Linked DNA regions of Caenorhabditis elegans. The protein of the gene in region 2 interacts with the protein of the main gene of each other region in a pairwise test. Each region holds a gene or a part of one and is shown on either strand. Other genes may lie near its edges.

Region 1 (2,829 bases), on a different chromosome or scaffold from region 2:
ATTTTCCAGTACATTTATATCCACTTAAACTTTCAGTTGTGAAAATTCAGATACCAGCTTTTCCAACCGGTCACACCTTCTTCTTACATTTGCTTTTCCTCTGGACACATTCAAAACTCCAGAATTATTATATTTGTTCGGCAAACTGCAAACATTCGTCTCCCAGACTACCCATAAAAATCATAAAAATCGTACAACAACTGGACAAAAAAAAACAACAATATACATATATGAGTGGAGGATATCAGCATATTACCCTGTCAAGGTCGGGCATGTGTTAGAGGTTTTAGAGATACAAAGAAATGAAGAAAAATGAATGAGAAGGAGACTTATTGATGAGAAAATGGCAAATTCATGATAACACATGAACAAAGAAGTTATGCGATTGTAGTGAAAAGGCATGCTTAGTGAGAAATTTTGATATTCTGCACGGGCGGTTCACTGAGACATTTATAATTAAAGATCAGGATTAAAACAAAACACAATTCCTGAAAAGTATTTTCTGAAAAAAAAACATTTATACTTGAGTGTGAATTTTTATTTTTGCAGGAACCACACAAGCTGAATCTCTACTAACCCGACAGGTGAAGATTTTTTCGAGTTGGAATATAACGTTTTTAAGAATGAGTTCATAATCTTTGTACTGTTTGAACAACTGATTTTCCCAAATTTTTTAGAACGAAACTGAAATTATGTTGAGGCCACTGATCTTTGCGAATCGGCGAGGTTCCGAATCAAGTCGACGCCGGAAATCTTTTCTACTATGATCTTCTCACGTCCTACTTCAGTCGTCTTCGTCCCATTGATCTTGACCTGAAACATTTTGAAAACTAAAGCGAGTAGAAACGAAGTAAAAATAAAGACGGCTCTATCTGATTCCATATCAATTCAGCATCCCGGAAAACTGTTGTAATCTGGACATGACCGGGAGACGCGAAAATTCCCTCACATTTTCTTGTCTCAAAGATCTGTCAACTCCTGATTCCAACCAGTTTTCCGCAATACTGAATTGAGAGTTAATATTTCATGCATTTCGCCGGAGTTCAATTTGATTCTGCAGTTTTCACTTTGAGCTAATCTCCAACTTTTGCTTTCAATCCAATAAATCATAGACAACTTTGATAAATGAAGCATATAATCTGTACTACCACGAATTCGCCCGTCGATTGCTCCAACATAAATCGAATAGCACGTTGGAATGGGCAACCATTGTCGGCGACTAAAAATCTTAATATTATAAAAAATTTTGTTCCAGTCCCAACATTCTCGAAATCTTTTTTGATCTACCAAATTGGTACTTCTTTGTAAATGTCATAAACAGGTGCGAGAGGAACCAGATAATATCGATCTCATAGCAAGAGAGAAATGATGTCATCGGAGCAGATGTTCTCCTTTCCTATGCCATTCTTTTTGCTAGTTACAGCACTACATTATCGATTGCAGCTTTGGGTCTCGACACGAAAACGCTCGTCTCCGATATATCGACTGCTACTGTGCTCAATCAAACATTACCCATCTTTGTTCTTGTTTTCCTTATTTTTTATTTTTTTTGGAACACATTAATTTTTATATTTTTTATTTATTTCAGAAACTCAACACTAAAAAGAAGTATGCAACGCTATAATCCACCACAAAGCTCGAATCAAATGTACTGCCCAGGATGTAATCGTCAAATTCGAAAAGTTCAAGAGTTGATGGACGAGAGGTACCTGACAAACATTTGTAATGAAGTGGAGAAGAACACCATGAGACTTCAAATTCAAGATTTGGAGAGACAAGTTCAAATGCGTCGATGTGAGAATCGGAAGATGAAGACTATTCAGGAAGTCGAAAAGGAAGGATCAACAGAATCTCAAGATTCAATTCATGACCATCCAATGGTAAAAGTGTTGATGGAGATCAACGATCAATTGATGATTGAAATGAGAAAAAAGGTTGAAGCTCCAGAAGAATATCCATTAGAAGAATGGAAAGATGCTATTGAACAAAAATGGAGTGAAAAGTATGAAAAGCTTCGTGATTATGCATTGGATCAACAAGACATGGTCAAATATATGGAAGAGAATGATGATCGACAAAAAGAAAGTATTGAGAAGTATAAACGGAAAATTGGTTCGATGAAAAAAGTAATTGAAAAGATGGAATTCGAAATGGCACTTCTTCAATCGGAATTGGAAATGAAAGACTCCTCATGTGTCGAGAAGTCTGTAAATAGTGAGGAAAAGCAGGAAAACAAGGAAAATCTTTCTGGTGTTCTCGATAATAAATTCATTTTCCAGAACTAATAATCTAACTTCAAAATCTCTTTTTTTTTCAATGCTTTATGTTATTTTCTTGCTTTTTACGAATAAAGTCTGTAATGACTATTTTTCGTTATATTGAAAAACCTTGGAGTCAGGAGTCTTCATAAAAGCAACAAACTTGCCCATTTCGGTAAAATAATTTAACTTTTAAAATAATCTAAAAAACAATTAAATGTTTTCTTGGAAAATTGTTTTGCTAAATCTTTTCATTCACCCAAAAAAATCAATGGCTATGGAAGCCCCTCAGTATTGAAAAATAAATGTTCTCAGGTTTCATATTTAGGTAAATTCATTAAATGTTACGAAAACTTTATTTATTCCAATAAGTAATTTCTAACAAGTTCTATCAATTGTCATCATCTACGAGTTCATTTCTTCTGACTAATCGCATTATGTCCAAAATCAATTTCTTTTTCTGAAAAATGAAATAAAATTGAAAATTTAATTTAATTTATGTTCTTACCTTTGCATAGTCATTATCGCTCATTCCCTCAAGAACTGGATCGAAATCTCTTTCGAATGTTTC
Region 2 (6,873 bases):
TATGCAGCTATATGATGTGCAGCCGCAATTCAGGAAGTTCCAGCATGTTCCCGACTGGGAATACGACATTTCGTTAGTGAATCTTTTTGGCTTTAAAATAAAATCATTGATATCAAATTTTCAGTGAGTTCCCAGACAAGGAATTACAAATGTTCGACACTGACATTCCGGAAAAAGTGTTCATCTGCGAACTTTTGCCAACCTACATTGCCGGCGTGATTTGCCAGAGGGATCAACTTATTTTCCAGTCATGATTTTTCCAATTAATTTTTGTCAATCTTTCATTTAAAACGTTTAAAAATAAGAATTTAATATTAATTTCATATATATAATTTGATACATAGTTTCTTTATAGTTTCCACTTCACATAATGTTTGAATCAAATTAATCGTAACTTCTATAAAAGTTTAATATCATTAATTCTTCGAGATCTGGCGTGAAATTCAACATTTTTTAAAATTATGAATTAAAAAATTGTAAACAATTTTGGTGGACTTCAAAAATGAACTTTAATTTTATGGAGAATTTATTAAAAAATAAAACTGAATAAAAATCACCAATTTGTTCATAAATCGCAAAGAAATCACATCTTAAAATTACTCAAGAAAAACTGAAACTCCAGCATTTTACAATAAATCATTTTATATTAAAAAACAAATTTCGAAAATTTTACCCAAGAAATTAAAAAAAAGCACCTAATTTGAGTTAAGAACCAAAAAAGGAGCGGTCAAACGGAAAAAAAGTCTTACAAAATTTCGATTTTTTGGAAAATGCTGAAACTCTTTGAAATAAAAACTGCTAAAAGCCTAGTCAATTGAAAGAAAATAACAAGCATTTAAGCTTCCGAGGAAGATGAAGTGGATCGTGAGCTTGAAGATTTTGAAGACGTTGATTTTGAACTTTTTGGCTTTGAGCTTCTTGATGACCTGGATTCATTCTCGGATTCAGAACCACTTCCAGACTCAGATGGCGTGGAACTTCCAGACTTTTCAGACTTGTCTTCCGACTCAAAACTCTCTTCATAACCCTTGTCAACCACAAAAGTTCCACTTCCACTAACTTCTGAGCTTCTTCTCCCGATTGATTGCTGCTTTTCCTGGCTTTGGACCCTTTCTATACCTCGCCCCTTGGCGCTTTTCATGCGTTCCTCAAATTTTCGTTTTAGACGGTGCTCCTGCGCCAGGGCCGTCTGTTTTTCCATGATTAGCGGGCCGTTGAGCACTCTGAAATTTTTGGAAGGTTTTCAAAACTTCCGAAAATTATCAAACTAACCTCTGCTTCATCTCGGCCAGCTGCCTCATGTATTCTTGAGTTGTTTCCTGCTGTTGTTGCCTGAAAATCAGGAAACTGTTTTAACATTAAAAAAAAAGAACATGAGAAAAAGAGACGCAGACAGGCAGAGCGACACGCTGTCTGTGTCTCTCTCTTTTTTTTTTGAAATTCAAACCATTTTGAGGGAGTGACCGGTTATGCGTCTGCCCGTTTTCTGGAAAAATGTTTTTTTTGCTGAATTTGACAAACCTCAACGATTTTCAAATTTTGATAATATTTTTTAAAAATAACAAGTCTTACAGTTTCTGCTTTGTCCTCATCGCAATATCCTCCTCAGTTTTGCTCCGTGCTCCCAAAAACGAGGAAATCCTCTGCTTATTATCTTCAGCCCAGAAATTCCCGTTTTTTCCCGATTTTTCAGACTTTTTCAGCTCAATTTTTGCTCGGTTGAGCTCCTCGCGAAGTTGTGTTGCGTGAGTGCTGGGCACTCGATTTTTCGAGGTTTTCGGCAAGTTTTCAGTCGATTTTTTGAATGGTTTTGGAGCCTGTTCTTGACAATTTCCGTGTCTCGAAGTTGCTGATTTACTTCTGGATGCGAATTTGAAAGGTATCGGCACAGTGGAGGGTTTTGAATTTGTGTTACGAAAGTTATCGGTGATCTGGAAAAAAAATTATATAATCACCTATTTGTCTTCAAGGCGGCCTACGCCTACTCTGAGCCCCAATACGTGCCTACCAGGCAATATCGTGCCACGTAGAAAATTAGCATGCATCCATAGAATTTGCAAAATACATAGTTTTTATGCTCCAAAAAAAACGAAATAACAAAAAAGAACTACTTATTTGGGTTTTCTGAAACTTTACCAAAATTTAAAATTTCACTCAACTTTTTTTTAAATAACTAATTTTTAGACTCACTTTTGCATGGATTTTCTCAAAATCCGGTGGCGAAGTCCGCCGGTGTAGTGAGACGGCGGAGGCGTCCATAGTGCACCGCCCGTGACGTAGGTGATGGGTTAGGTTTGACTGGGCTCGGTGGCTCTGGAATGTTGAATATTCTGACAACGAATTTGTAGATGAATATAGATGAAACAAAACTAAATTTCTAAACCAAAACATTAAATTTTTTTAATTTTTGTTTCTAAATAAAATTATTAATTGTTCAAAATTTCTAATTTTGTTTACCTTAATTCCCTTTGGAGTAGTAGCTTCTTGAATAAGAATAGTCGCTCTCATAGTTGCACTGCGGCTTCTGGCATTTGGTTTCACTGGAATTGGTGAGATATATGTTGATGGAGGTACGTACCCGAGAGGTTTTATTGAAGCTGTAAAAAAATTTGGAATGGTATTTTTTTTTGAATTTGAATTCAACATTTAATTTGCGGTAGGCAATAATCAATTTCATAATGTTCCTTTAAAATTTAAATAGCTGACTATGAGAAAAGCTAGTAATTTTTCCGGTTTATTCCAACAAAAAAAACAGTTTTCCTAAAACTTTGCAAGAAATCCTAGTTTCAATGTAAAAACCATACCCAAATTTCCTTCACTCTTCGATCGGACCATTTCATTCTGAACTTCAAACTTCCTCCGAGCCTTCGCCGCCACCTTTTTCCTCATGGCTTCTACGTATTTTTGCTCCGTCGCAAATGTATTTGTAGGCTGATATGTTGATTTGGGGACAGGTTTTGCCCGAAATTTTGTGTTTTCCAATGCTTTCTTGGCGTCCTCCTCAAGTTTTTGCTTTTCCGTAATTAGGCCGCTCATGAACTTTTTTGCGTAAGTATTTCCAGTGGATTTTCTGAAAAAAAATTATAGTTTAGGTTACATCCAGAAGTCCGCAACTAAGTTGAAATACTTCCCTTGTAAGCTACTTACCTCAAGCTCAACTGAAACGGCTTCGGTACGGTAACCTGTGGTGTATACTTTGATAGCTGATGCATAGACTTGGATCGATTCTTAGAAAGCTTTAAGTCGCCCGCTACAACTTCATCCCGAATTGTTGGAACTTCCCGTGTCGTTGACATTCCGTCCTCTAAAAAACTCTCCTCAACAACGTGTGATGACGTGGCAAATTGTGGATTTTCTGACTTAGAAGATGCCACGTGTTTCGTATTACTAGAAGATAACAGTAACCCTGATGGCATGGCGACGGAAGTGGCGATGTGTGGTGCGGAGCTGAGGTGCCGGGTCGATGCGTTTGCCAAAATTTGCCGGACTGTTGCTGACGTGGCATTTCTTGTCGAATGATGACGTGACGCGCTGGATGTTCGATGACGTGGATTTTGGAGAGTTGATGATGTAGCACTCGGAACCTGTTGACGTGAATTTTGGTGGGTTCTAGAGCTTTGATGACGTGGAATTTGATGGGATGGCGTAGCATGAACCTGCTGACGAGGATTTTGGCCAGATAAAGCCGCTACACTTTGGACTGATGACGTAACAGAGACCTGTGATGGTGCTGTAGATTCGATATTGTGGTGCCGAGAGCTTTGATGACGTGGATTCTGATGGGATGATGTAGCATGAACCTGATGACGTGGATCCTCATAAAGTGCCTCGTGGCTTTGATTGTGAGCCAACGTGGCATACTCAGTTTGACTCCAAGACTGCTCCCTCGGAGGCTCCGGTGCGGCCCGAACAGGGACTCTCACTTCTGAAGATCTCGGTTTCAGATCTAGATGACGTGGCATTTGATAGTCAGAAGGAGAAGCTTCATCTTGAAAATGACAACTCGAAGATTTTGTCACCTTATAGCTCGACCTATGCTGTGTAATTTCTGATGACGTCATCATAGTTGGCAACGGTGGGGCGCCGAGCTTCTTGGCAAGGAAGTTGGTGGTCTCCTCGTGTTTTTGACGCAAAATTGAGAGACGCTTGATGAACTCCTCATCGTTGAGTAATGATGGGTCCTGGAACGAATTTTTTGAGGTACTGTAAGAGAAGCTGAACTTACATTTTGAAGAGCGTCTAGCAAGTCCGCTGTGGCTTGTAGATTCCTCAGCACTGGTGGATCTTTCGGTGGAGCCATTTTGTGGAATATTAGGAAGGAAATGCTAGGAAATATACGAAAGTTGTGGATTTTCCATGGGGAAATCTGGAACCATTTTTTTAATGAGTTTGTTTTATTTCAAATTGTGGTAGTTTCAACAAAGATTCAAAATTTGGTGAAATTTGTTCTACGTTGTTTTTTTTTATTTTTCAATAATTTCCTCTGGTGAAAAACCTAAGCCTAATCCTAATTGTAAGCCTATAATACTAATAAATTTTGGCGCAAAAGTCAAATAATTTCCAAAAAATGTATGAAGGAAATTAAAATGGAAAATTTTAAATTTTTTTGAAAAAATTTGCATTTTAACAACTTTTAACGTCACTACGGAACACAAATTTGCTGAAATTTTTCCAAAGAGAAATTTGAATTCAAATTTTTCAATACAAAACATATATCTTGAAGATAAATTTTTAATTTTTGACAAAAAAGATTTTGCAGGAAATTTACATGCGTATTTTTAAAATAAATACGTTTGAAAACAAAAATTGTTTGAAACCAGCAACAAAAAAAAACATACAAATTCAAAAACTTACAGGAAATATACGACTACTACTACTGCCGTCAAAAACTTCTAGAGCATGTCTTCAGAAATATTATTTTCCGAAATAAATGTGTTCTCAAAATTGAGTAGAACACAAAAAGCGGGAGAGAGAGAGCAATCCGAGAAAAAGAGTTTGACAGGAGTGAGGCCCAGGTTGTTATGGAAACGTACGGCAGGTGGTAGTAGTTGTTGGTGAAGATGGGTGGCTCGGAGGGAGAGATTACGAAATAAAAGGGTAGGGTGTGGTGCATAATTAACGCGAGACAGCTTGAGATGGAATTCAGGAAATCGTTAATCTCATCTTCTACCTCCCCTTTTATTAGTACTACTAGTGGGAACTTTGTAGGTATCCAGACCTATGTAGGTCGACAACAGGGGCGAGCGGCAATTTTTTCGTCGACAAATTCGGCAAATCGGCAAATTGCCGGTTTGCCGATTTGCCGGAAATGTTCAATTTTGGCAATTAGCCGGTTTGTTTAATTGCCGAAAATTTTCAATTCCGGCAATTTTCCGGTTTGCCGATTTTTCGGTTTGCCAATGAAACTGGAATTTACAAAAAAAAGTGCAAAACAACAATTTTCCGAAAATTTTCGGCAATTGCCGTTATTCCAGCAAATTCCGGCAATTTCGAGATTTGCCAATTTGCCGGAAAATAGAAAAAAGTTGAAAACCAATAAAATGTCGAGGAGAACATTTTTCGTCAAAGAAATTTTATTTTTAATATCAAAAATCATTTATTCCACATACTAGTCTACTTCTTTTTATCAGTCTTATCCTTCTTGAAAGTCTTTTTCTCCGTCTTCTTATCGCCATCCTCTTCAAGTGTGGGGTACTCGTCCGTTTCAGGTGTGACAATAGGATCTGTGACAACCGCGTTCTGAAAATTCAACGCTAAGTTATGAAGGTTTAAGATGTTTAATTTGACCGGAAAACTATGCTCAGGCAAGCCCTCATTTACTAGTGTTTTCATTTACTTGAACGCTGGTTGATTGCCATCTAGCAGGTGAGCCTGTGGAGATACGCAGACCGCGGTATTGTCTCCCTGATTTTTTTAGGAGTCGGCGTCGCTTTGTGGACATCTCTCTTTTGTCCAATTTGTTTTGTGCAAGCCAGATAACAGATAACATCTCCTTACTAACAGAGAAATGGATGTAAGTAACATTAACGATGTACCAAGTATGCTGATATATCAGCATAGTTGGTATGTTTACAATTTTACCATCCAACCTTTATGACGTTTTGTGGCGAAAACATTAGTAAATGAGCGTCAAAGGGATTGAGCCATTGTTAGGGATTTCAAGTAAATGAGCACGCTAGTAAATGAAACGAGTCGTTTGGTGTGTACTCAATGTAGTGAGAAAAGATTGTTATTTGAAAAAAAGCGGTAGCCACATTCCCAGTTCCGCGCCGCACTATACATACGGATACATGCGGCATGAGTGAGTCCGGCGCCGGCGTCGTTGCGGCGACCTCATATAAGCCCAATTTTCCAAAAATTCTCAGCTTACCTTGTCGCCCTCGCGAAGCTTCGATTGAACTGGAACAGTCTTCTCCTTCGCTTTTTCCTTTTCCTTCGGCTTCTCCTCTTCGGTCAATTTTTCCGGTTTTTCAGGCTTATCCTCACTCGATACTGTCGTCTTTTTCTTGGTTTTGTCCGATTTTTTCGAAAGCTTTTCCGCTGACTTTTTGGACTCTGGTTTCTGAAAATTCAGACTTTGATTTGTTTTAATTTTCTTGTTGGGCAATTGGTAACCTTGTCTTCCTTGTTTGGCGGCATATTCGGGTCCTGAGTGTCCTTGCCGACTGATCTAAGCCCCGGTGGTGGAACTGGGCAGTCTGGAGCAGCATTGGCACCATTTTTGACAGAACTTGAAGCCGAGGTTGATTCAACCACAGGCTTTGTTGACTTTTGCTTCTTTTTGCCGGCACAAATCTGGAAAAGTCAATTTCAGGCAGAGTCCGGCTTAGCAGGCTTAGGTTTAGGCTTAGGTTTTGGCTTAGTGTTAGGGTT
Region 3 (7,917 bases), on a different chromosome or scaffold from region 2:
CATTCCGAGCACGGTCACAGCAATTCCTACGGCTGGGCCATTGATCAGAGCAATCAAAGGCTTCTCGTGGTTAATATAGGCCTGAAAATTTGAATTTATTATTGAAATATATATTTTTAAACTAACATTGACATAATCCTTCATAATAACTTTAGCTGTATTAGCCATATCCGCAATTTGCTCTTTAGTACCTCCAGCAGCAGCTTTAAAATTAGTCAAATCGTTTCCAGCGCAGTAATATGATCCATTGGCAGTAATCACAGTGATTGAGGTGCTCTTGTCATTGTTGGAGACCTCCAGTGCCTTTTGAATTCCTTGATACATTTCCAATGTCAATGCGTTGAACTTCTTTGGTCTATTCAATGCGATTTTGAACACTTTTCCCTCGCGAGTCACACTTAAACCGTCAACGTTCTCAAGTCCTTCGATTGATGGCCCAGTTGGTTCTGGAGCAGCAGAAGCTTCTTCGGAAATGAGTCCACCGACCAGTTTAGCATAGTTGGCGCGAGCTTCATCCTGAGTTTGTCCCTTCAAAGTATTCCAGGCATCATACTTGGCTCTTCCAACGAAATCCATCATTCCCGGGCGTTTTCCTTGCACATCCCCAGCGGTGGCTTGTTTGAAAAGCCCGTAGAGCTGCAGTTTCACGTCATTGTCCGGCTCTTCCTTCAGAGTTTTCAGATTTTTCTGCGCCTTCTCGAAGTCAGCCTGGGCAGAGAACGAGCGAACGGAACTGAAATTGAAGATTTATTCACAAATTAGATGATTTTTGCAGACTTACACTTGCGGATTGTAGAGAACACTTCTAGCGGCGAGGGTGAGATTTCGAAGCATTCTGAAATGAATTAAAATTGATTTTTTAAACGTTATAATTAATTTTTTCGGGGAAAAGAGAAAAAAAGAAAGAAAATGGACAACGTGAAGAAAAGAACAAGGTACACGGAGGGGCCGGGTAAATGATAAGAACGGCCGCCGTCTTTTTGTTGTTTTGAATGAACTGGCTACACACAAGAATACACATTGTAATGTGTAGCTGGACAATCGCTACTATACGCAAGACAATAGTGGAGCAATTATAAATGGGATAAATAATAGATTCAGGAAAATTTGGAGTTTCAATTTTTTTAAAAGAGAGCTCAAATTGTATAGATAACCTGGAAATTAAGATTTTAATATTAGAAAAAACAGTGAAAATCAAATTATAATCCCTAGGAGTCCTAGGAGAAATCCCCTCCTAGGAGAAATCAGAAAACTGATAAATAAAATCAATAAAATTTGCAGACAAAGGACGTTCACGGCCAAGGGTGTCAGTGTCCTGTAAAAATTACAAAAACGGGACAACGGGAATTCTCGTTCCCGTGAAAATTTTAAAAACGGGACAACAGAATTCCCGTTCCCGTGAAAACACCCCAAAAACGGGACAACGGGACAAACGGGACACGGGAATTGACACCCTTGTTCACGGCAACTACAAAATGCACAATACTTTGTCTACAGTACTCTGATTCAATTGTTTTGTTGTTTTTTTTTGTTAATTCTTTTTTTTTTGGTGTTAATTTTATTATTTAAATATGAATTTGTTATTTTTCGAGTGAAATCATTTTCATCCACGCAATCCTGAACGCCTGAAATTTTTGAAAAGTCTGCGTCTCTGCCCTCTAACGCGTGGCAACCGAGCGCGATTGCTCTTGAAAAATATTCACAGCTGGAGGCCTTTTTATTCTGTTTGAAACGTTTTTGCGTTCCAAATACAAAATAAAATCAATCTCCTAATTTTTAAATCAAGATGTCGAATTGAATCTGCTAAAAATTGAACGCGCTTCTTTATTACTGAGCTTTTAATCGCAAAAAACCGTTTTCCCCCGAATAATTAATATTTTTCAACAGAATACAACATTTGATGGATCTGGCATAGAATGTTCATACCTGTAAGTTTCCTTTAGAATTTTTTTAATAAAAAATAATTTTTGAAAATTCCAGAATGACAGGCCATCGGTTCTCCAGCTTCCGAAGCATGAAAAGGATTCGACTGCCGCCGATATCAAGTCAATTGTGGCAAATCGAGATCGAAGATTGATAGCAGTCGCAACAAATGATGCGATTTACATTTGGCTGGCAAATGTTAGTGCTGAAAACTAATAAAAATCTGATTAAAAAAACATAAATTCAGCCCCAACTGCTCCTGTGCTCCGTCGGGGTTATCGATGCCAATTTCAAAGAAACACGTGGAGAATTAAAAGAAATTTACTGGAAACCTGACTCAACAAGTATAGCTGTAACGGTAATATTTAAATTTTACAGTTCTTTCTTTGAAAATATTATATTTTTCAGACAAATCAATGCAAAATTTTAATCTATAATCTAGATTTGCGAGACGATGAACAATGCTACAATTTCACAGACTCTGCGGATCCATATTTCCAACGAAACTCACCGGAACTTTTTATAAAAGGATCTCGACCGACAGCTCATCTTCATCCAACAATAATCATAAATCTGGCTGATATACCAACATGTTGTGTTCCTTCTCGTGATGAATTTCTTGTTTGCCTTCAAAATGGATTCACTCATCATGTCACTTGGACTGGAGAGATTATTGCAAGCCTCTCATTCCGTGCCAGTTCAATTCCGTTCTCCGTGGATCAACTTCAGTCGAAATCTGAAAATATTACTTCAAAATCCACGTATATCTTTGACGCCGTGTATGCTCCACTTCTCGGAGGATTTGCGATTGTACTTTCCGATGGTCAAGGTGCTCTATTGACGTCGAATGATCCGAATTTTGCACCTAATGTGAGATTTTTATCATGAAAAATTAAAAAAAAAACCCATTTTTTATTATTCCAGGCAATTCTGGGAGTGTGGGCTCCGAATATGAAAGATGCCACGTGTTGCGATGTGAATCACAAGTTCCTTCTGATTCTTTTTGGATGTAAAAAGTGAGTTTTTTCAGATTTTTCAGATTTTAATTTTCAAAAATCAAACGCACAGTTTTCTTTTTAATCTAAACTATTTCCAGCGGCGACGTTTGTGCCTATAACATCGATGAACTAAATGGCTCACTCGTTCAATCGTTCCGAGTTGCTCCAAAAGTAACAAATGGTCCTGACTTGACGAATCGACTGGGTCCGGTTCACCGAATAACAGCCCTCGCGAATGGATACGGATTCGGTGCAATTTGGTCTCCACTATCCGGAGCTCATGCTCTTCCTCGGCTCGTCGCAGTTTTCACTTCATTCGGAGCTCAATCATTTTGCAATCTGGAAGGTGTCGTCGAAGAAGATCAAAATGATAGATACACGGCTATTGAATGGGGTCCAGAAGGTTTCCAACTGTGGCTTGGAACTGAAAATGAGCTTATGATGCAACCATTCGTGAGGAGTGCTTCATGTTCAAGCCCGGCAATGGAACATTGTGATAGAGCTGTATTGATGAGTGACTCGCAGGTTTTGATCAGTGCTGCAAGGGATCGAGAAGCAGAAGCTTGTGCACCGCATTCTGTATGGGATCATATTACAGTTACACATGAATATCTATCATCTAATTGGCCACTGAGAGTGAGTTTTTTAAAAGTAAAAACTAAAAGCATAAATTTGGTAAAACCATGAGGTAGGCATGTAGGCACGTAGGTATTTTCCGATAGAGTTTATTAAAATAAAATGTTAAAATTTAATATGTTTTCAGTATGCATCAACTGATCGAAACTATAAACATCTCGTCGTGGCCGGTGATCAAGGAATGGCATATTGTTCATTATCCAATCGACGTTGGAAGATTTTTGGAAATGAGACTCAAGAGAAGAATCTCTTGGTCACTGGAGGTGTCTTTATTTGGAATGATGACGTCATTGGAGTTGTTGGAGTTGCTGCGGATACTGACAAGTCCCATCTCTCATTTTATCCAATTTCTCAGAGACTTGACAGTCGATATGCGTCGGTTGTGGATTTGGAGCATAAATCGGTCATGTCCGTGTTACGGTAAGAAATATTCAATCTTGGAAATGAACTCTCATTATCAGTTTTTTTGGAATTATTCTAGATTCAGTGACATTAATATTTTCCCAATTTTTCCAGCGACGACGTTTGTGCAGTATTCGATATATCGGCTCAAATTACGCTTTATAAGCTCACGGCTCACTTGGAAACTGGACGAGATGCTTTTACAAAAGTCTCCACTGAAATTGTGACTGTTATTCGAATCAACGAAATTGTTCCACATCCAACATGTATTGTATCTCTTCAAATGACACAGCTGAATCTGGATGTACGGGGGAAGTTGTCACCTGCATTTTATTCAAGTATCGATACTGTGCTGGTTAATATTTCGGGAAGATTGATCACTTTGAGTGTTAATGAGGATGGAAAGGTTTGTACGGAAAATTAAAATTGCATGGTTTCTGAGTTTCCAGAATTTTGCAAAATTTGATGAATATTTAGAATTTTTGGAATTTTTAAATTTTATATTCTTGTCCAATTTTTGGTATTTCAGAAATTTTTAAAACATTCTGAATTTTTTGAATTTTCAGAACTTCTAGAGTTTTCGAATTTTTGGGTTTTCTGGAATTTAAAAAAAATTAAAATATTTTGGAATTGAATTTTTTGTTTCGAAATTTAATAATTTTCAATTTTTAGAAATTTCAAAATTTTTCCGTTCCTAGATTTTTCAACATTTTGAATTTCAGTATTTTTAAAACATGAAAAATTTTTCCTTTTTCCTAAATACTCGGTTAACTCGGTTAAACTAATTTTTTTCAATTTTCAGAATTTTTCAATTTTGGAATTTTGCAAAATTCAGTTTCTTTTTAATTTTCGGATTTTTTAAAGTTTTGAATTTGTGAAATGATTCAAATTTAGACTATTTGAATTTTCTGGAATTTTGGAAGTTTTGGGATTTCTGAAATGTTTGGTTTTTAAATTAGAAATTTTTGGAATTCGGAAATACAATATTAAAATAAAATTTACAGCTCCATCAACCCATGGTAATCGCGTCATACGTGGAAAAAATGTGGCATGACCGTTGTCAAGTCTCCCAATCAACCCAGTCTCAAAATCAAGATCTTCCATGGAAGAACCATCGGCGAAATGGATCAAATGTTTCAATCCAAAGTGTTTCCACATCAACAACTTCAGAACCATCATCTCCAATGAATCAATCATGTTCTTCACATTTGAGTAATGCTTTATGGATTGCTTGTGGTGCAAAAGGAATCAAAGTTTGGATGCCGTTGGTGCCAGGAAAACGAAATTTAGCCACACAGGAAATGACGTTTATCGCGAAACGAATAATGCTTCCATTTGAACTTGATATCTATCCAATTGTGATTAGTGCCAAAGATTGTCTTGCAATGGGTGTCGAGAGTCAACTACAACATGTTGCAAGAGCTTCAAGAAATCAAGGACAAATGGAAAGTATCACTATGTATGGACTTCATCGCAATAGTGAAGTATTTGTGCATCACCTGCTCCGACAACTTTTGAAGCGAAATCTTGGAGTTTTTGCTTTGGAGCTCGCCGGAGCCTGTCGTTCTCTTCCACATTTCACGCATGCTCTTGAGCTTTTGCTCCATGGAGTCCTTGAAGAAGAAGCTACAAGTAGTGAACCAATTCCAGATCCTCTTCTCCCAAGATGTGTAGCTTTTATTCACGAATTTCCAGAATTTCTGAAAACCGTAGCACATTGTGCACGAAAAACTGAATTGGCACTTTGGAGAACGTTATTTGATGTCACAGGATCTCCAAATGCACTATTCGAAGAATGTCTACAACTGAAACAACTCGAAAATGCTGCAAGTTTCGTGATTGTCCTGCAAAATCTTGAAACCACCGAAGTGAGTATGGATCAAGCAGCGAGACTTGTGAAGGAAGCATTAGAAGAGAAAAAATGGACGATTGCGAAGGAAATGGTCAGATTTGCAAGATCTATTGGTTCGGAGGATATTGATGCATTGTAAGAATTAATGAATTCATTAATAGAGAAATTAAAAAAGAATGCCTCCAAAAAGAGAACGCACGGAAAAAAGATTCCCAGAATACATGTGCCCTACATCCGTAACTCTCCTTTTATCAAGCGAGGTATTCAGAATCAAGGTCACCGTTGTTATCGTATCCGTTTCACGCTACGATCCACAGAATCGGCACCCACTTTGAAAAATAATTAAATGTGTTCAGAAATAGAATAATGACCGAAACTAAGTTGAATTCGCAACAACGAATTATTAGATACCGTAATCCACACATTTGCATTTGAAAAATTGGCCGTGTCGAGACCGGCTACCGTAGTTTTTAAGCAAACAAAAATAAAATTTGATAATAACTTTGCAATTGTTTTAATTTTTAAAAAGTTTCAGAACACCTCCACCAAGTGCCAAGACTTCTCTATCCCGCCGACCTACAGTATCCTCACCGTCCGCTGATTCTTCCACTGAATTCGTGATTAATAGATTTCAAGCGGGAGCTGCTGGAGGAAGATTAAATAAAGTTCGACATTCACAGAGTACTGAGCAAAAAGATGCACCGAGAAAAGATTCGATTGGCGGAAGTTCAAAGGATAAAATGGCGTTGTCTTGGGTTTGTGTGTTTTACTGGAAATTTTTATTTTTATAAAATCTAATTTCAGGGCCTATCTGGTGAACTTTCTCCACAATTGGCTACGAATCGACTCGCCGCAAAAATGACATCAATTCTAGAAGATCACGCGTGGCATTTGCTGAATAATTATTGGCTTCTAGATCTTGGTAATTGGAAAAAAAAATTCAGGACAATTTGGATTCAATTTTTTTCAGGATTCTTCTGGTCCGAACTTCAATTCGATTTGCTCGGTCTTTTGGAGACGCGACGGAAACAAATTTCTCTTTCACCGAAAACTACAAACGAAAATTGCTTTTTGATTGAAGATTTTGCCTTGGCACTTACAAGGTAAATTGGGATTCTTCCACTGAAAATGTAATAATTCAGAAATTTAAAAATAAACTTAAATTTTCGAGTTTTCCAGTTTTTTCGAGAATCTGAAAATCGAAAAAAAAACTTGAAATTTAATACTAAAAAATTTAAATTTTTAATTATTCCGATTTTTCGTGTTTTTCAGAAAAATGATACATTATACGGAAAAAAAATTTTTGATTTTAAATTTCCCGTTTTTTTTTTAATTTTTAAATTCTCGGAAAAATTGGAAAACTCGAAAATTTAAGTTTATTTTTAAATTTCTGAATTGTTACATTTTCTGTAAAAAATAATAATTAAAGAAAAAACACGAAACATTTTTTGGGGGAATTTTTAAAATCTAAAATTATTGGAAAAAAATGCAAATTTTATCTTTCAAAAAAAAAAAACTGAAATTTTGAAAATCGAAAAATTAAAAAAAATTTTAAGCGTTGTAAAAATATATGAGAAAAACCCAGAAGCTAAATATTAACCAGAAAAATGTAAATTTTGATGAGAAAAAATTATTGAAAAACTATCGGAAATTTTGAATATTCCTTCGATTTTGTCGATTTTCAATAAAAATTGGGAATATTTTTAATATAAAAAACTCTAATTTCAAAAATTTTCAGACTCCATGCTCAATTCTCGTGGCCATATCCTCTCATCGGTTCTCAATTCGTGCATCAAATTGAGAAGAAGCTTGGAAATATTCGTGTCAGCCAGAGTACTGCAAGCTTGAATGGACTACTAAATGACTCATTGGATAATATAAAGAAGCCTAAAGCCAGAAAATTGGAAAGGACTGTAGTTGATTTAAATGGAGCTAGATCGAGAATTCGTGAAACGGATATTGAAGCTAGCGAAGAAGACGTTGAGATTCAAGAAGCCGTGCTGGAAAGAGTACGTGGAAGTGCTGTGGAACTGGCACCAGTAATCGATAGATCCCCATCGACATCTTCTTCAATGAATCATCATGCTCCATTGGCTCCACCGTCAC
Region 4 (4,964 bases), on a different chromosome or scaffold from region 2:
GAGACTTCCGTACAACACACACACACACACAAAAACTAAACAATAATCAAAAATGCATGACAATTTATATGCACAGTTTTCGTTTTTCGCAGTTAGATCACTCACACCAAAACACTCGCTGTCGTAGATGACGTGGTTTTTGCAACAAAAATGGATAACTGGCTTTAATTTGGGAAACATTTTGGTGCTCACACCAATTTTTCGCACTTTTTTCATGTGATGCTTCAAATAAAGTAATTGCTGAAAAGGAAATCGTTTCAGATGCCGGAAAAATGTTGGAAAAATACGCGTTAATCCTGGCGAGAGAAAAAAAACAAAACAATTGGAAGTGAACAAGGCTTCGAATTGTTTATTTTCATTTCAGTGCATTGCTTCCAACGACGGTGAACACTATTTTTAATTAATTAGTTTTCACATTTCCCTGTTTTCAAGGAGTTAAGGGAATATGATATGTTTTTTAGAACAGTCATCATAGTTGTAACTCCATCGTAGGTAGTTTAAAAATCGTCTGTAAATCGAGCAGCATGGACAAATTTGTAATTGTTGTTCAGGTTTCTTTGTAATTCAACAAACATTGAGAACAATGTACATTTATTCTTGCAAATTAACAATTTAATCAAAAAGTCACTTCATCTTGAGATTGTTCACTTTTCCAAGAGCTTCTTCCAAAGTAGAAATATCACTTCTGATGTCTCTTGCGAGACGTTGAAGTGCTGCTACCTTGTCGAGAATTTCAACTCGTTGAGTGTAAGCATTATAACGAATTTGGAATGGACGATTGATGGTAGCTGCCCATGATCTGAAATTATCTAGATTACAGTTGAAACTGACTATTTGATCCTACTTAAGTTTGTTCTTAGCACTTGCAAATGATTCAGCTAAGAAATACTTTGGCTGATATTCTGTGATTGGATATTTGGTGACACAACATACAGCTGGATCAAAATCTACAACTTCCGGCTTATCACTCAACGCATATTGAAGCTCTCCAAATGAACTCAAAAGTCCGGCTCCGTAAGCTTTTTTCTCCCCATCTTGTTGACAGATTCCAAATTCGATTGTGAACCAGTAGAGCTAATATTTCAAAATAAAAAGGGGGTTTCAATGTTCAAACATACTGTGGCAAGTTTTTCAATAACATCATCTGGAGCTCCAAGAGAAGCAAGACCGATTTCCTGTGAGAATTGTGCAAATTCAACATCAGCAAATAGTGGAACATGTCCCAGAAGCTCGTGGCAGATATCTCTGAAAGTTACATCTCCAGCTTATTGTCAAAAATTCAGAATATATCCAGATGATAATCAACCGATTAGATTTTATTTTCCTTTTATGTTGCACTATAGAGTTTTCACAATTTTTTCAAAGCAAAAGTCGTTTACGAAATCCCACCCTCGGTTAAAATTATCATGTTCAAACTCACGGTTCAGGTGTGTATTTTGGAGCGGAATGATGGCGAATGTATTGTGTGGAATGAAAAACACGGAAGGCCAAACCAGCCAAGAAATCACGAGAAGAAAGAAGACCAGCGACTGGTCGAATCGTGTACCCGGTACAATCTGAACACGAAACAAATACAAAAACAATCAGATGATAATGATTTGTTTACCCTTCAAAAAATCTGAAACATCCTGCAATTGTGGAATGCGGTCAGGTCCAAAACCACAATTCTGCTGGAGGAGTGGGAATATGTAGTTGAACTCTTGGCAAGCGTTTTTCGGGTACATAACTGTCAGCTCGTTGTAGACTGTACGCCACGTGGCAATTTCTTCATCAGTGTAGGTGATAGTAGGGATCTTGTCTCCGCTGGAAAGTACGATCAGGTTGCAATTCGGATTTTTTGGATTTTATTCAGTACGCCTTCAATGTTACATATTTATTGGCACATATTGCTACTTTTGTTGATGAAATGACTTACTGTTTGAAGTTGAATGCAATATCGGCGAAAAACTTTCTGCGCTCGCGGTAGGTCATGTCCTTAAATCCAGGGTGATCGGCATCAAGCTCAGCTCCATAAGAAAGAATTCTGTTGGCAAATTGATCGATGTCGTTGATCTTCTGTGGGAACCATGGAACAGAATCTACAAAGCTCTTGAATTTAATACTGTGAGTTTCATTATTGTTATAGCGTACCCTTGTTTTGTTTGTTTTTGGTGTTCCAGTCTTGAACAAGAACCTTCTTTTCAGCTTTTTGTTGGAAATGCTCAATAACTCCTTCAATCTTACGATGGTCTTCAGCTTCAGCAAATTCAACGAGCACCTCATAGCATCCTTCATGAGTCTTTGATGGTCTTGATTCAATGTGAGACAGATTCACATCATGTGCCTGCAAGAATGTGTAATGAAGCATGTAATTGGTAGGAATTTGAGACAATTGATATGATCTCTTTTTCTCGTGACACGATTTTCGACATCTTTGATAATCAAAAATCGCGAACCGGATTAAAAAATGCAACTACGTAGTTTATCTCTTATCATATTTAGAAACAGTTTGGTGCAAATTTTCAAATTTTAATTTGATATAAATGTTTTTTCTATGTCTACTCAACCGTCTAAACATAATTGAAGATCATATTATTCAACGCTTTATGATGCATAAAATATTAAACCGCCTGATCAAGAGTAGACGTGAGAATCATAAGATTTAAAAAAAAAAGTGTCGCTGACGCAATAGTCATCCTCTGAAGTCTCATGATCCTCTGACATTTCTAGTCTGGTTTTTTTCATGACTAACCTGGAACAGCTTCAATGTTTCAGCGAGAGCTCCTGCCTTTTCACGAAGAGTGAATACGATAGTAGTCTTGCCAATGTCGGCGTTGACGTCAGCAACGTACGATTCCATGGCGTACTTCTGAAATAAGTTGGACTTTAGTAATTGGAAATAATTTTACACAAAATTCTCAAACAGAAGTTTTTCTTGATCAGTTCAAACAAGGAAGGTCTCACCAAGAAGTCAAGATCATCTTGTCCAGCTGGTGGCATTTTCAGAGAACAAGATTTGGTTTTCAGAGGAATAGACAGTCACCGGGAAATAAGAATTAAACAGAGACAAAACGTGAGCCGTACGTTGCCGTTTATACGAGACGAAATAGCTGGAGACTCAGAAGCCTAGAGATACAAGGCGTGGCCTATGAACTAGATAATTCGTGTGGCCCCCAATACCATTCTGCAGAGAAAAATCCACGTGGGAGGAGACTCGCGGCTACCCATACACAACCTACACGTGGGTTTTCATTAGAGTGTAGTGTGAGATAGAAGAACGGTTGGAAGAAATTGAAAAAAATACGAAGAAGAAGAAGAACAGTCAGATGATGAACTTGAAAGCACGTGGAAAATGATATGAAATAGATCACAGACAAATGGACGCCTGAACAATAAAAGATATGATTATGATCAATGAAATACAGTTTGAACTTCCAAAAGAAAGCATGCCCCAGTGGATCTTCTTCGTAAAATAGATGTAAATCTCTGTTTCTAGTTGAGTTGAAATTTAAGACGTTGGGTATGAATTGGATTGTAGGCCTTTTCAGGCGTATGTGCTTACATACAGTCATTTTTCAATTTCAATTAATTGATGAAGCTTAAATATGGATAGTGGAATGTTTCATTTTTTCACGATGCTGAAAAAGGGGAAACTGAAACAGGTTTTTTTTGTTGAGTAAATTTACCGAATTTGGAGTCTTACGACTGCCTTGTGACGAGCCTCGTTCAAAACTTTTTTTCAACTTCCTCAAATTTCTCGAATTTTAGTTTTTGACCTTAAACAGACATTTCAATGGTTTTGATTGAAGAAAAAACCAAGTTTTCTTTGAAACGATCAAATGGGTTACGGTAAAAGCCATAAAATCATGGTGTATCGAATCGAAAGTAGGAGGGGGACGCTGAGAAAAATCAACAGAACACAATAATGAAAACTGGTTGACGCATCCTTTGTATTGTGAAAAGGAAGGAAAATGAGATGAGATGAAGACGTGGAATATTTAGATGGAAATATATAGGAGGACGTTTGGTTGAATGTCTGACATTTTAGGATGATAAATTTAGAAGAAAGAAATTTATATGAATGGATGAGACAAGACGATGTCATAAATCAGTTTGAAAACGGCAGAAACGATCAATAGTTGATGATGTCCGACTGGCTTTTATCAACTTTTCGTGAAAATTTTCGTTTGCAACGCGAATCTTCTGCAGACCATGATCTGAGATGTCTATGTCAATGAGGTAAATAGGAACAGTAATACAGCATTGAAACAATTAATTTAGTCGATGGTTGATCATAAAAAATGGAGAAATTTTGAAAATACTCGTGTACGAGATCAACTGATCAGCGACGGTTTCGATGAAAACAGGGGAAAATATAAGGATGATAACACTTTTGAAGATAGCAAAATATTTTGGTTCAAACAGTTTTTAATTAATTGAAATTATTTAACAATTTTCTAATAGTATGATAACAAATTCTATAATTTTTTTTAATAATTTCCGTAGTTTTGACCAAATTTTTGTTTAGATTGTAACTTCCACGGATATCACGTATACTTTGGCAATAGAGGCTGGCATAGGCCGCCTGGTAGGACTTTGTATTTATGTATTTTCAGCTGTTACCCTCTTTTTGAAAAATTAAAGTATGGCCGAAAAAAAGTATTTTTAAAATATTCAAAATTAGCAAATTGATTTTTTTTTTCAGATAATTTGGCAAACATCAGTTTCTTATTACAAATGCAAATGTTTGACGTTGGACTAGTATAAATAAAGAGCTCGATGTACAAAAATTATATCATAATATTGAGAAAAATGGATCAAACATACCTTTCTAATTTCATCAATATTCATCCTTATATAGCTGGACTCAACAGACCAATAATATAACTGATGGAATGTACGAAAAAGGAAAAGGAAGGAGGTACTGCCGGGATAATCATCAGTTTACGTTATCATCTTATATCTTGAATGCACCGAGTCGCGTG

What was found.
Region 1: the proteins of famh-161 (region 2) and K04G2.10 interact in a two-hybrid assay, tested with the Caenorhabditis elegans proteins (one large-scale study listed by BioGRID).
Region 3: the proteins of famh-161 (region 2) and R06F6.8 interact in a two-hybrid assay, tested with the Caenorhabditis elegans proteins (one large-scale study listed by BioGRID).
Region 4: the proteins of famh-161 (region 2) and pah-1 interact in a two-hybrid assay, tested with the Caenorhabditis elegans proteins (one large-scale study listed by BioGRID).

The regions. Positions count from the first base shown.
Region 1 is NC_003279.8:8,058,194-8,061,022, forward strand, and holds K04G2.10 (uncharacterized protein), read left to right. Parts: upstream 1-1,610; coding exon 1,611-2,285; downstream 2,286-2,829. Other genes in the region: F18C12.4 (Small integral membrane protein 29), read right to left, coding at 2,650-2,718, 2,767-2,829.
Region 2 is NC_003283.11:20,529,188-20,536,060, forward strand, and holds famh-161 (Protein fam-161), read right to left. Parts: upstream 4,986-6,873; 5' UTR 4,855-4,985; intron 4,367-4,854; 5' UTR 4,301-4,366; coding exon 4,226-4,300; intron 4,182-4,225; coding exon 3,148-4,181; intron 3,071-3,147; coding exon 2,805-3,070; intron 2,598-2,804; coding exon 2,458-2,597; intron 2,314-2,457; coding exon 2,191-2,313; intron 1,932-2,190; coding exon 1,573-1,931; intron 1,333-1,572; coding exon 1,273-1,332; intron 1,224-1,272; coding exon 836-1,223; 3' UTR 509-835; downstream 1-508. Other genes in the region: Y38H6C.15 (uncharacterized protein), read right to left, coding at 5,614-5,739, 6,371-6,562, 6,616-6,795.
Region 3 is NC_003280.10:10,813,949-10,821,865, reverse strand, and holds the start of R06F6.8 (Guanine nucleotide exchange factor subunit R06F6.8), read left to right. Parts: upstream 1-1,887; 5' UTR 1,888-1,916; coding exon 1,917-1,928; intron 1,929-1,980; coding exon 1,981-2,121; intron 2,122-2,170; coding exon 2,171-2,281; intron 2,282-2,331; coding exon 2,332-2,793; intron 2,794-2,847; coding exon 2,848-2,939; intron 2,940-3,019; coding exon 3,020-3,557; intron 3,558-3,684; coding exon 3,685-3,977; intron 3,978-4,073; coding exon 4,074-4,365; intron 4,366-4,963; coding exon 4,964-5,946; intron 5,947-6,340; coding exon 6,341-6,566; intron 6,567-6,615; coding exon 6,616-6,733; intron 6,734-6,781; coding exon 6,782-6,914; intron 6,915-7,549; coding exon 7,550-7,917. Other genes in the region: ech-4 (Delta(3),Delta(2)-enoyl-CoA isomerase), read right to left, coding at 1-81, 127-733, 782-834. UniProt on the Caenorhabditis elegans protein: Probable component of a guanine nucleotide exchange factor (GEF) that may be required for efficient fusion of endosome-derived vesicles with the Golgi.
Region 4 is NC_003280.10:8,762,093-8,767,056, forward strand, and holds pah-1 (Phenylalanine-4-hydroxylase), read right to left. Parts: upstream 3,120-4,964; 5' UTR 2,980-3,119; coding exon 2,944-2,979; intron 2,849-2,943; coding exon 2,732-2,848; intron 2,324-2,731; coding exon 2,131-2,323; intron 2,079-2,130; coding exon 1,916-2,078; intron 1,804-1,915; coding exon 1,607-1,803; intron 1,557-1,606; coding exon 1,421-1,556; intron 1,246-1,420; coding exon 1,119-1,245; intron 1,075-1,118; coding exon 845-1,074; intron 800-844; coding exon 625-799; 3' UTR 530-624; downstream 1-529. UniProt on the Caenorhabditis elegans protein: Catalyzes the hydroxylation of L-phenylalanine to L-tyrosine. Catalyzes the hydroxylation of tryptophan to 5-hydroxy-L-tryptophan. Plays a role in the biosynthesis of a melanin-like cuticle pigment.